2 linked regions of the Callithrix jacchus genome follow. The protein of the gene in region 1 purifies or fractionates together with the protein of each later gene. This does not show direct contact. Links are inferred from orthologs where the notes say so. Each region holds a gene or a part of one and is shown in the gene's direction. Other genes may lie near its edges.

Region 1 (3,945 bases):
TCTTTCCCCACTTCTATTTAGGATACGGTAAAGAACATATTTAGTGGAGTGTTGGGTCTTCTCCCCCCCCCCCCCTTCTTTGAGATGGTGTCTGGCCTCCTTCCTCAGACTGGAGTGCAGTGGTGAGATCTTGGCTCACTGCAACCTTGGCCTCCAGCCATCCTCTCACCTTAGCCTCCTGAGTAGCTGAACTACAAGGGTGTGCACCATTATGGATAATTTTGTGTTTTTTTTTTTTTTTTTTGGTTTGGAGAGGGGTTGCTATGTTGCCCTGACTGGTCTTGAGCTCGTGGGCTCAAGCAAGCTGCCTGCCTCAGTTTCTCAAATTGCTGGGATTACAGGCTTGAGGCCAAGATTGCAGTGAGCCAAGATCACAGCACTGCACTCCAGTCTGAGGAAGTCTGAAAAGCCAGCTAAGTACATGGTTTTAGAAAGATACGGTAATTCGTAGGTAGACGTAATAGAAACTTTTATCTTTTGGGCTAGTAAGAGGAGGTGCTCTTTTACTTCCCTTAAGCCCACTATTAGTCTAGTTTTGCAATCGTTAGCCAAAATGTACGTGCAGTATTTCAAGATACTTTGAAAAGGTAACCTTAAGATAGTTTTAAGGGAAAACTGAGGCATTACAGGTATTGTCAGAGTATAGACATGGTGTTGTCCATTTGGCTGGGTAGGCACCTCAGCCATCAAATGTTTACCAAGGGTATGTATTCAGCCCTTGAGGCTATTTTATTTTAGAGGGATCTCACTGAATGTTTCACATACAAACGTGTATTTTTGAAAAGTTATAAATGGGTGTGAGAGACAGTTAAGAATGTCATTAAAAATATTAAGTGATTACTTAAAGGCTTATTTTATAATAGGTGGCAATTTTGGAGGTAGCCCTGGTTATGGAGGAGGAAGAGGAGGATATGGTGGTGGAGGACCTGGATATGGCAACCAGGGTGGGGGCTACGGAGGTGGTTATGACAACTATGGAGGAGGTAATAAATTCACAGGCAATTATCTGGGAATTTATAAGATCCTTTATTTGGGGAATTGGGGGTGGAATCAATGGTTTTGTAACACTTGATCTTTTATTTCAATATTTGTCACTGGAGGCCCTTAAAAGTTAAAGATAAGTGTTTGGTTTTATTTGTTTTTGTGGGAGCTTTGGCCTGAATAGTCAGTATGTATCATTGGTTTAATGTTTGTATTGTTCTGAGGTCCATTATGTCAGTATTTCAATTTATTTATAGGAAATTATGGCAGTGGAAATTACAATGATTTTGGAAATTATAACCAGCAACCTTCTAACTACGGTCCAATGAAGAGTGGAAACTTTGGTGGTAGCAGGAACATGGGGGGACCATATGGTGGAGGTAATTTATAACTAAAAATTGAGATTGTTCAGGTTTTTGTGATTAAAGGTTTAGCCTTTCGTGATTTAAAGGGAAGATACCATACTAAGTAGTTCGTATTTGGACAGTGCTCTATATGCGGTCTTAATGCATAAGTCTCCAGAAATACTTTAGCAAGCAATTAATATCAAATTGTGGTGGAAGTGGGGATGTTGAGAAGTTGAAAGAATTTCCGGTAGGGGCTCATAAACAGCCAAGTAAAAATACAACCAGCATTGCAATGGGTATAAATTTGGTATGAGGGTCTTTGAAGTTAAATACTTCCAACTGTGATTCAAACCATTGCTTAGTTTATTCTTGAGGTTTTTAGCAGGACTATACATTTTGTGTTGTGCTTGATGTACTTTAAAAAAATCTTAGTCCAAATGATGGTGAGAGGACCAACCCTTTATTGAAAAGAATAGTGTCAGCCACAAAATTAAAACCTGAGTAATTGATCTCCCAAGTAATACTGCTAACTGGCTGCAGAAGTTAGGATCTGCTTGTTTTAAAGATTTGATAGATATAAAATAGAATCAACTGTAGTAGGCTGATCATGGGAAATCTAAGTTTGTTTTCTCTCTCTGTTCCAACAATTCTAGGAAACTATGGTCCAGGAGGCAGTGGAGGAAGTGGGGGTTATGGTGGGAGGAGCCGATATTGAGCTTCTTCCTCTTTGCCATGGGTAAGTAGCTTTTGAGTTTTACAATTATTATTATCTTGGGAGATCTAGCTGCAGGAGTAAAAGCTTTTTAGGATCATGTTATCTTTCCTTAAAATCTGGTTAGATGGATAATTTCATAACCTATTTTTTTTTTACTCTTTACTTCTGTTGAAACAGGCTTCACTGTATAAATAGGAGAGGATGAGAGCCCAGAGGTAACAGAACAGCTTCAGGTTATCGAAATAACAATGTTAAGGAAACTCTTATCTCAGTCATGCATAAATATGCAGTGATATGGCAGAAGACACCAGAGCAGATGCAGAGAGCCATTTTGTGAATGGATTGGATTATTTAATAACATTACCTTACTGTGGAGGAAGGATTGTAAAAAAAAAAAAATGCCTTTGAGACAGTTTCTTAGCTTTTTAATTGTTGTTTCTTTCTAGTGGTCTTTGTAAGAGTGTAGAAGCATTCCTTCTTTGATAATGTTAAATTTGTAAGTTTCAGGTGACATGTGAAACCTTTTTTAAGATTTTTCTCAAAGTTTTGAAAAGCTATTAGCCAGGATCATGGTGTAATAAGACATAACGTTTTTCCTTTAAAAAAATTTAAGTGCGTGTGTAGAGTTAAGAAGCTGTTGTACATTTATGATTTAATAAAATAATTCTAAAGGAAATTGTGTAATTATAGACTTTTTATTTTAAATAAGTTAAGGAGTGGGTAGTATAATTAAGGTTCGTTGCAAAGCTGTTGTTATATTTGTGTAAGATAAATGCTGGTCAGATGTAAGTGTGTTGTCTGCAATTCATCAGGATTAAATTATGTAGATAACTTAAGGGATATCTCTGCAAGGAGAAACACCTTTTTAGATCTTTTAGATGCTGCTTCTTCAATGCAAGGAAAGGAAATAACCCCAGCGAGGTACTCTTCAGGGACACAGGTCTAGTACAAGAGAACTCTTGACGGCTACTAAGTTCAGCCAGTCTTAAAAAACTGTGCTGTTTCTACAAAACTTTAACTACAGTAGTTTATAAGGATGCCAACGAAAGCTGAGGGTGTAGAGCAAAATAGTTCTAAGCTTCAGTTAAACTTCTTTAGGTAAGATCTTATTTACTTTTCCTTTCTTAATTTTCCTCCCTAAAAGATAAACTAATATTCTTCAATGGTCTTTCAGTATAGTGGTTCTTACGTAGTTTAACATAGCTATAAATTGAGTTTAACAATTTATAAACTCAAGAGAATTTTTATAAACCCTGTTTTCCAATCTGTCATTTACTTAAATTATTTTGGTTGTTCCCTTTTTTTCCTCCTTTCCCTCCCCTCCCCCTCCATGTGAAGATTCAGGTGCTTAACATATCATTTTTTTCCCTGCTGGAATTTTAGCATTGATATGAGCCATGGACAAGTATATTCTGCTGCCACAAAGACTGTAAAGTGCTTCATTTCAACAGCTGAGGCAAGCCAAGTGATCATTAATAAAGCTTTTCTTGGTTCCTTCAGTGGTGTTGGTAGTAAAATGGTAGGTAAAAGTTAGGCTGCAAGTTGAATAAATATGAGATTTCCCATCGTTACACCCTTGTGTATTCACATTTCTTGTATCAAACATTTTGAGTGAACTTAGGGGTTTTTATTAAAGACATTTGTTCTATTTATGGTTCTAGCTGTACATGCTTATCAGGATGAGACTGAAAGAAGGTAGCGTCAAAATGGTTGAATCTATTTTCAGATAATAGTTCATACTTGAGTGAAGTGTCTGTCTACGTTATGAAGCCTGTATGTATCCAGTACTAAATAGGTGGGTTAAATATGGTAATTCTAGTTCAGTGTCTTACCCTGAAGAGGAAGTTGTAGGTTGGCTGTTAAGATTCATTCCTTAGATATCAATTTGATTGCCTGGCTTTA
Region 2 (4,910 bases), on another chromosome or scaffold:
GGGTGATGACGGAGTGAGACTGTCTCAAAAACAAAACCAAACAAAAAAACCTTCTTTCATGACCAAACATGGTGGCTCTCACCTGTAATCCTAGTACGTTTCTTTGGGAGGCTGAGGTGGGATGATTCCTTGAGCCCAAGAGTTCAAGACCAGCCTGGGCAACAATGTAAGATGCCATTGCTACAAAAAAATAAAAAAGTTATCTGAGCAAGGTGGCACATGCCTGTGGTCTACCTACTCAGGAGGTTGGGGCAGGAGGATCATTTGAACCCAGGAGGTAGAGGTTGTGGTGAGCCATGTTTGCACTACTGCACTCCAGTCTGGGTGACGGAGTGAGGCCATGTCTCAGAAAAAAAAAAAAAGGAAAATAAAAATAAAAATTAAAAAACCTTTTTTACGTAAGTTGGACAATTTATGTAAAAGAGAATTGGCTATAAATGTATGAAATTTATTCTACCTCACTAGTATTTTTTTTTTTTTTGAGATGGAGTTTCATTCTTGTTGCCCAGGCTGGAGTGCAATGGCGTGACCTCAGCTCTCTGCAACCTCTGCCTCCTGGGTTTAAGCAATTCTCCTGCCTCAGCCTCCAAAGTAGCTGGGATTACATGCAAGCGCCACCATGCCTGGCTAATTTTTGTTTTGTTTTCTTTGAGTTGGAGTCTTGCTTTGTTGCCCAGGCTGGAGGGCAGTGGTGTGATCTCTGCTCACCGCTTCCTCTGCTTCCTGGGTTCAGGCAATTCTCCTGCCTAGCCCTCCTGAGTAGCTGGGATTACAGGCACATGCCACCACACCTGGCTGATTTTTGTTATCTTTAGTAGAGGTAGGGTTTCACCATGTTGGCCGGGATGGTCTCCAACTCCTGACCTCAAGTGATTCACCTGCCTCAGCCTCCCAAAGTGCTGGGATTACGGGTCTGAGCCACTGCACCTGGTGGGAGTCTCTCTTTCTGATGACCTCAGCCACAGTGCCTTCTGAAATGGTACCACAGGTATGTGCTTCTAGTTCTGTTTGCAGCAGAGTGCATGGCATGTACCATCATTCCCTCTGCCTGCTCTCTATTTGCGTCTCCCTCACATCCAGCAAGACTTTTCCTTTATACAGGACTTGCAGTTAACACCCTTGCCAAGGCCGAAGTGGCCTTTGAAGATCAGGCCCTCCTTAGCTCTGGGCTCCTGTGTTTCTTTGGATGTCCTCTCTACTTTCCTCAAACCTGTCAAAACTGGATTCGGCCTCTGTGGCACTGGGTTTGGAAACATGCTTTGCCCGAATCTTCCGAGGGTGGCACTCAGGCCTGCACTACCTGAGTTAGCCCTGCGGCAGGGTCCAACACTACCTTATGGTTAATTTATTGCCTGTGTCCACGAGAGCTGGGGTGAAGAGGGCAGCCAGATTAGACAGAGGGAGGCCTGGGAAGCTCTGGAGTCTTCGGTTTTGGGCAGTGCTGCTAGAAACCACGAACATTACTCATCTCGCAGCCTATGTGCACACCGGGTGACCCAGGGGCCTCGAATGCAGGGTCTCCACCTGGGGAATCACGCACTGTTACCAATTCAGCGCTGGGATGATTCAGCCGGAGCCTATCCCAGCACAGAGGCCGGCACGCACCCGTAGAGGAGATCGCGCTCGCGAGGCAGTACCCGGCGACCCGTCCTCGTGCCAGGGCCCCAGGGCGTTCCAGGCCCGCCGACCCGGAGGTGGGTCAAGAGGTACAAAGGATGCAAGTTCGTTAGGCAAAAGCGGGGTACAGGCGCGAGCCACAGGCACGGGAACCCCGCGCCGACCAGCGCCCTAGGCCCGACGACGGCAGGTAAGGGGAAGTGGAGGCACACACGGCTGGGGCGTGCCCCAGGCACCATCCGGGAGGCTTCGGGTGCTGGACGTCCGCAGCCCTATAGTTCCCAAGACGCTCGGCAATCTGCAGCTGATCAGCTCCGGCCAGCTTTGGGATAAAGGGGAGACAGGCGGCGCGGGGAGTGGGAACACCCGAAGGCCGCGCTCCTCCTTTCAGGTCGGCCAGGAGCGCCCCGGTAAGACTGGGGGTAAGGGGTAGAAAGACGCCCACCTCATCACAACCCAGAGGTCGGGACTCCTATACAGCCCCATAGGGAACTGGCGGCGCCATTCCCCTCCCCCACGTTGGCGGGTAACGCTAGAGAACGGTTTCAAGGAAGACGCATGCGCAAGAAACAATTATAAACCGCTGAGGCTCCAAGTTCAATATTCGCGATCAAGCGCAGGCGCAATAAAAAGCCCGGCGGGTTAATGGGTGGGGGTGCTGAGTCCAAAACGCAGGCGTGTAATAATCTACCAACCGGAGGTAGGCTGATTCTTGAAGTTACGCATGCGTCAGAGCTCTTTGTGACGCAAGGGGGCGGGGCGAGCAGCTGGCTGCGCGTGCGCAGAGCTCGCACAAAGGGCCTTATTTAGGTTGCGCAAGCGCCTGTTGGCCATTTCGTCTTACCCACGCTGGAGTTGGGTGTCAGGGTGAGTTGCGGTCGGTCCTCCCTAGCTGTCCAGCGACCCCCGCTGTGGGGTCCGTTTTTGCTAGGATTGTTTTCCTCCCGACCTCTGGGAGGGCTGCGGGGATCTTGGCTAGCTGCGGGCAGCCATCGAGAACCGAAAGTTGTTCGCTGAATCCCAGCACCGCCGCCGAGGCCTGCAGGCCGCGCGGACTCTATTGTGTGAGAAGTCGGAGGAGGCGGAGCGGAAGCGGCCGCCGCCATTTCCTTGTCTCCACGCTGGCTCTCGACCCCCGCCCCCAGGGTTCGGAGCGCCGACAGCTGCTCCCCAGAGCAGCTTTGGGGGTCCGCTCGCTGGCCGAGGAAGTGTTGGGTGTTGGAGTCGCCGGGGTGGGTGCATCCGCCCGGTTTTTGCTCCGTAGGGCGGGTGGCGCGGGCCCGGGGGGGTACATCGGGGGCGGAGCACAGCTTAATGGGCGCTCTCAGGTCTGGTCCTCCTCCCCGCCTTGCAGTTTGTTTCGACGTCGGACCGCGTAAGAGACAATGATGTTGGGCACCGAAGGTGGAGAGGGATTCGTGGTGAAGGTCCGGGGGTTGCCCTGGTCTTGCTCGGCCGATGAAGTGCAGAGGTTTTTTTCTGGTGAGTTACCACTAGAACGCGGGAGTTCGAGTTCGAGGCCTGGGCGGGCGGGCTGGCGGGCGGGCTGGCGGGCAGCCGGGCTGGGGCGGGCCGGGCGGGACTCGGGGCGCCCCCTGGCGTGGCGCGGATGACTGCAGTTCCCGCTGTGCTGTTCGCGCCCCGCCGACCGCTGTTACGCAATGGAAATTTCGAAAGCCCCGCCGCCTTCCTGTTTCTTGGAGTGCTGCCGATCTGGTAGACTTGTTTTCTTTACCTGCCTTTGAACACCAGCTCTTCTTTTTTTTTCCGTTTTCGGCTCACTGCGATTCGGGTTGAAGCGATTCTCCTTGCCGCAGGCTCCGGAATAGGTGGGATTACAGGCGTGTGTCACTATGCCTGGCTAACTTACTGTACTCTTTTTCTTTTTTAAGACGGGGTTTCAACATGTTGGTTGGGCTGGTCTTGAATTCCCGATCTCAGGTGATCCGCCCGCCTTGGCCTCCAAAGTGCGTGGATTACAGGCGTGAACCACCACGCCCGGCCATCTTTTTGTATTTTTAGTAGAGACGGGGGTTTCACCATATTGGACAGGCCGGTCTCGAACTCCTGACCTGAAATGATCGGCTGCCTCGGCCTCCCAGAAGTGCTTGGGATTACAGGCGTGAGCCACTGCTCCCTGTCTGGGTATCTTTTGGAAAGGATAAATTGGCATAGATGGGATTTCTTCTTGAATCTTGAGAAAAATCTCCCGAGTGATTAGACAAATTGTAATGTTTTGGAATATCTTGAAGTGTAACCTCTTGTTTACAGTTTCGGTGTTTCCTTGAAAATGAGCATTCTGCTTCGGAAAGTTAAAGTGTCACGTCTTAATTTCGGTTTTCCTAATCAAGATTTGGTAATTGAGATGTGTTTGCTAGTCTAGTTCTTGATATGGCTCTCTATACAGTTGAAGACGCTGAAGCCCAGGGAAGTTTTCTTGCCTGTGTAAATTTTTTTCCAGTACACAGTTTTCCTGAGTATTTTCTATCAGAATGTTCTTGTTCGCAGCATTAGACTGGGGAAAAGAAATTAGTTTAGACTGATGAAATTCTATTTGGATGAAATTGACAGCTTTTGGTAAGACGTTTGTAGTGTTGACTTACTATCTGAATTTAGCGTTGGTAATGGAAAACGACCTGTAAAACAAGAACCAAGTACACTGGAAGCCACCTTGCAGGGGGCAACACTGGGTTTGGCTGCAGCTGTGCAGCTTGGAGCATTTTAGCTTGGTAACACTGATTCCCTTTCAGGTTAGTATTGGGCCTGCAATTTGGATTTGAATGAGAAACCGTAATGTCGCTGCTGGTAAAGTAAAACTGACAAATGCACCAGACCAAAACAACTCACAACGAAGTATGTTTGCCATAAAGTCACAAAGTACAGACTTGATAGTATTCTGAGAAATTGATAAAAGATTTGTGATGGAGACATGAGTAACAAGGACTCAAAAGAGAAATTCATTCTGTAACTGCTTTGAATATTGGATGTTGATGGGTTGGAAATAGATCCCCTTGGGAATGAGATTTCTTTTTTAATTGGCATTCTAGGAGTTGGTGATACCGTGGTCATTATAGTCTTCACAAGTTAATGTAATTTTTGGCGTGGGGGACATGGAATAGGTATTTCATCTGTGTCACCCAGAGGTGGTTTTAGGTTTTAAATTCTGTATTAACGGTTGTTTTCTTTCCAGACTGCAAAATTCAAAATGGGGCTCAAGGTATTCGTTTCATCTACACCAGAGAAGGCAGACCGAGTGGCGAGGCTTTTGTTGAACTTGAATCAGAAGATGAAGT

The links.
Region 2: the proteins of HNRNPA2B1 (region 1) and HNRNPH1 purify together in Homo sapiens (affinity purification with mass spectrometry; 5 studies listed by BioGRID and IntAct, with this or other methods). This does not show direct contact. The link is inferred for Callithrix jacchus from reciprocal best matches to the Homo sapiens genes HNRNPA2B1 and HNRNPH1.

What each region holds. Positions count from the first base shown.
Region 1 is NC_133512.1:31,908,124-31,912,068, forward strand, and holds the end of HNRNPA2B1 (heterogeneous nuclear ribonucleoproteins A2/B1), read left to right. Parts: intron 1-863; coding exon 864-983; intron 984-1,238; coding exon 1,239-1,361; intron 1,362-1,981; coding exon 1,982-2,043; 3' UTR 2,044-2,064; intron 2,065-2,220; 3' UTR 2,221-2,719; downstream 2,720-3,945. UniProt on the Homo sapiens protein: Heterogeneous nuclear ribonucleoprotein (hnRNP) that associates with nascent pre-mRNAs, packaging them into hnRNP particles.
Region 2 is NC_133503.1:72,027,509-72,032,418, forward strand, and holds the start of HNRNPH1 (heterogeneous nuclear ribonucleoprotein H), read left to right. Parts: upstream 1-1,607; 5' UTR 1,608-1,694; exon of another isoform or gene 1,695-1,807; intron 1,808-2,445; exon of another isoform or gene 2,446-2,849; intron 2,850-2,971; 5' UTR 2,972-3,002; coding exon 3,003-3,099; intron 3,100-4,807; coding exon 4,808-4,910. UniProt on the Homo sapiens protein: This protein is a component of the heterogeneous nuclear ribonucleoprotein (hnRNP) complexes which provide the substrate for the processing events that pre-mRNAs undergo before becoming functional, translatable mRNAs in the cytoplasm.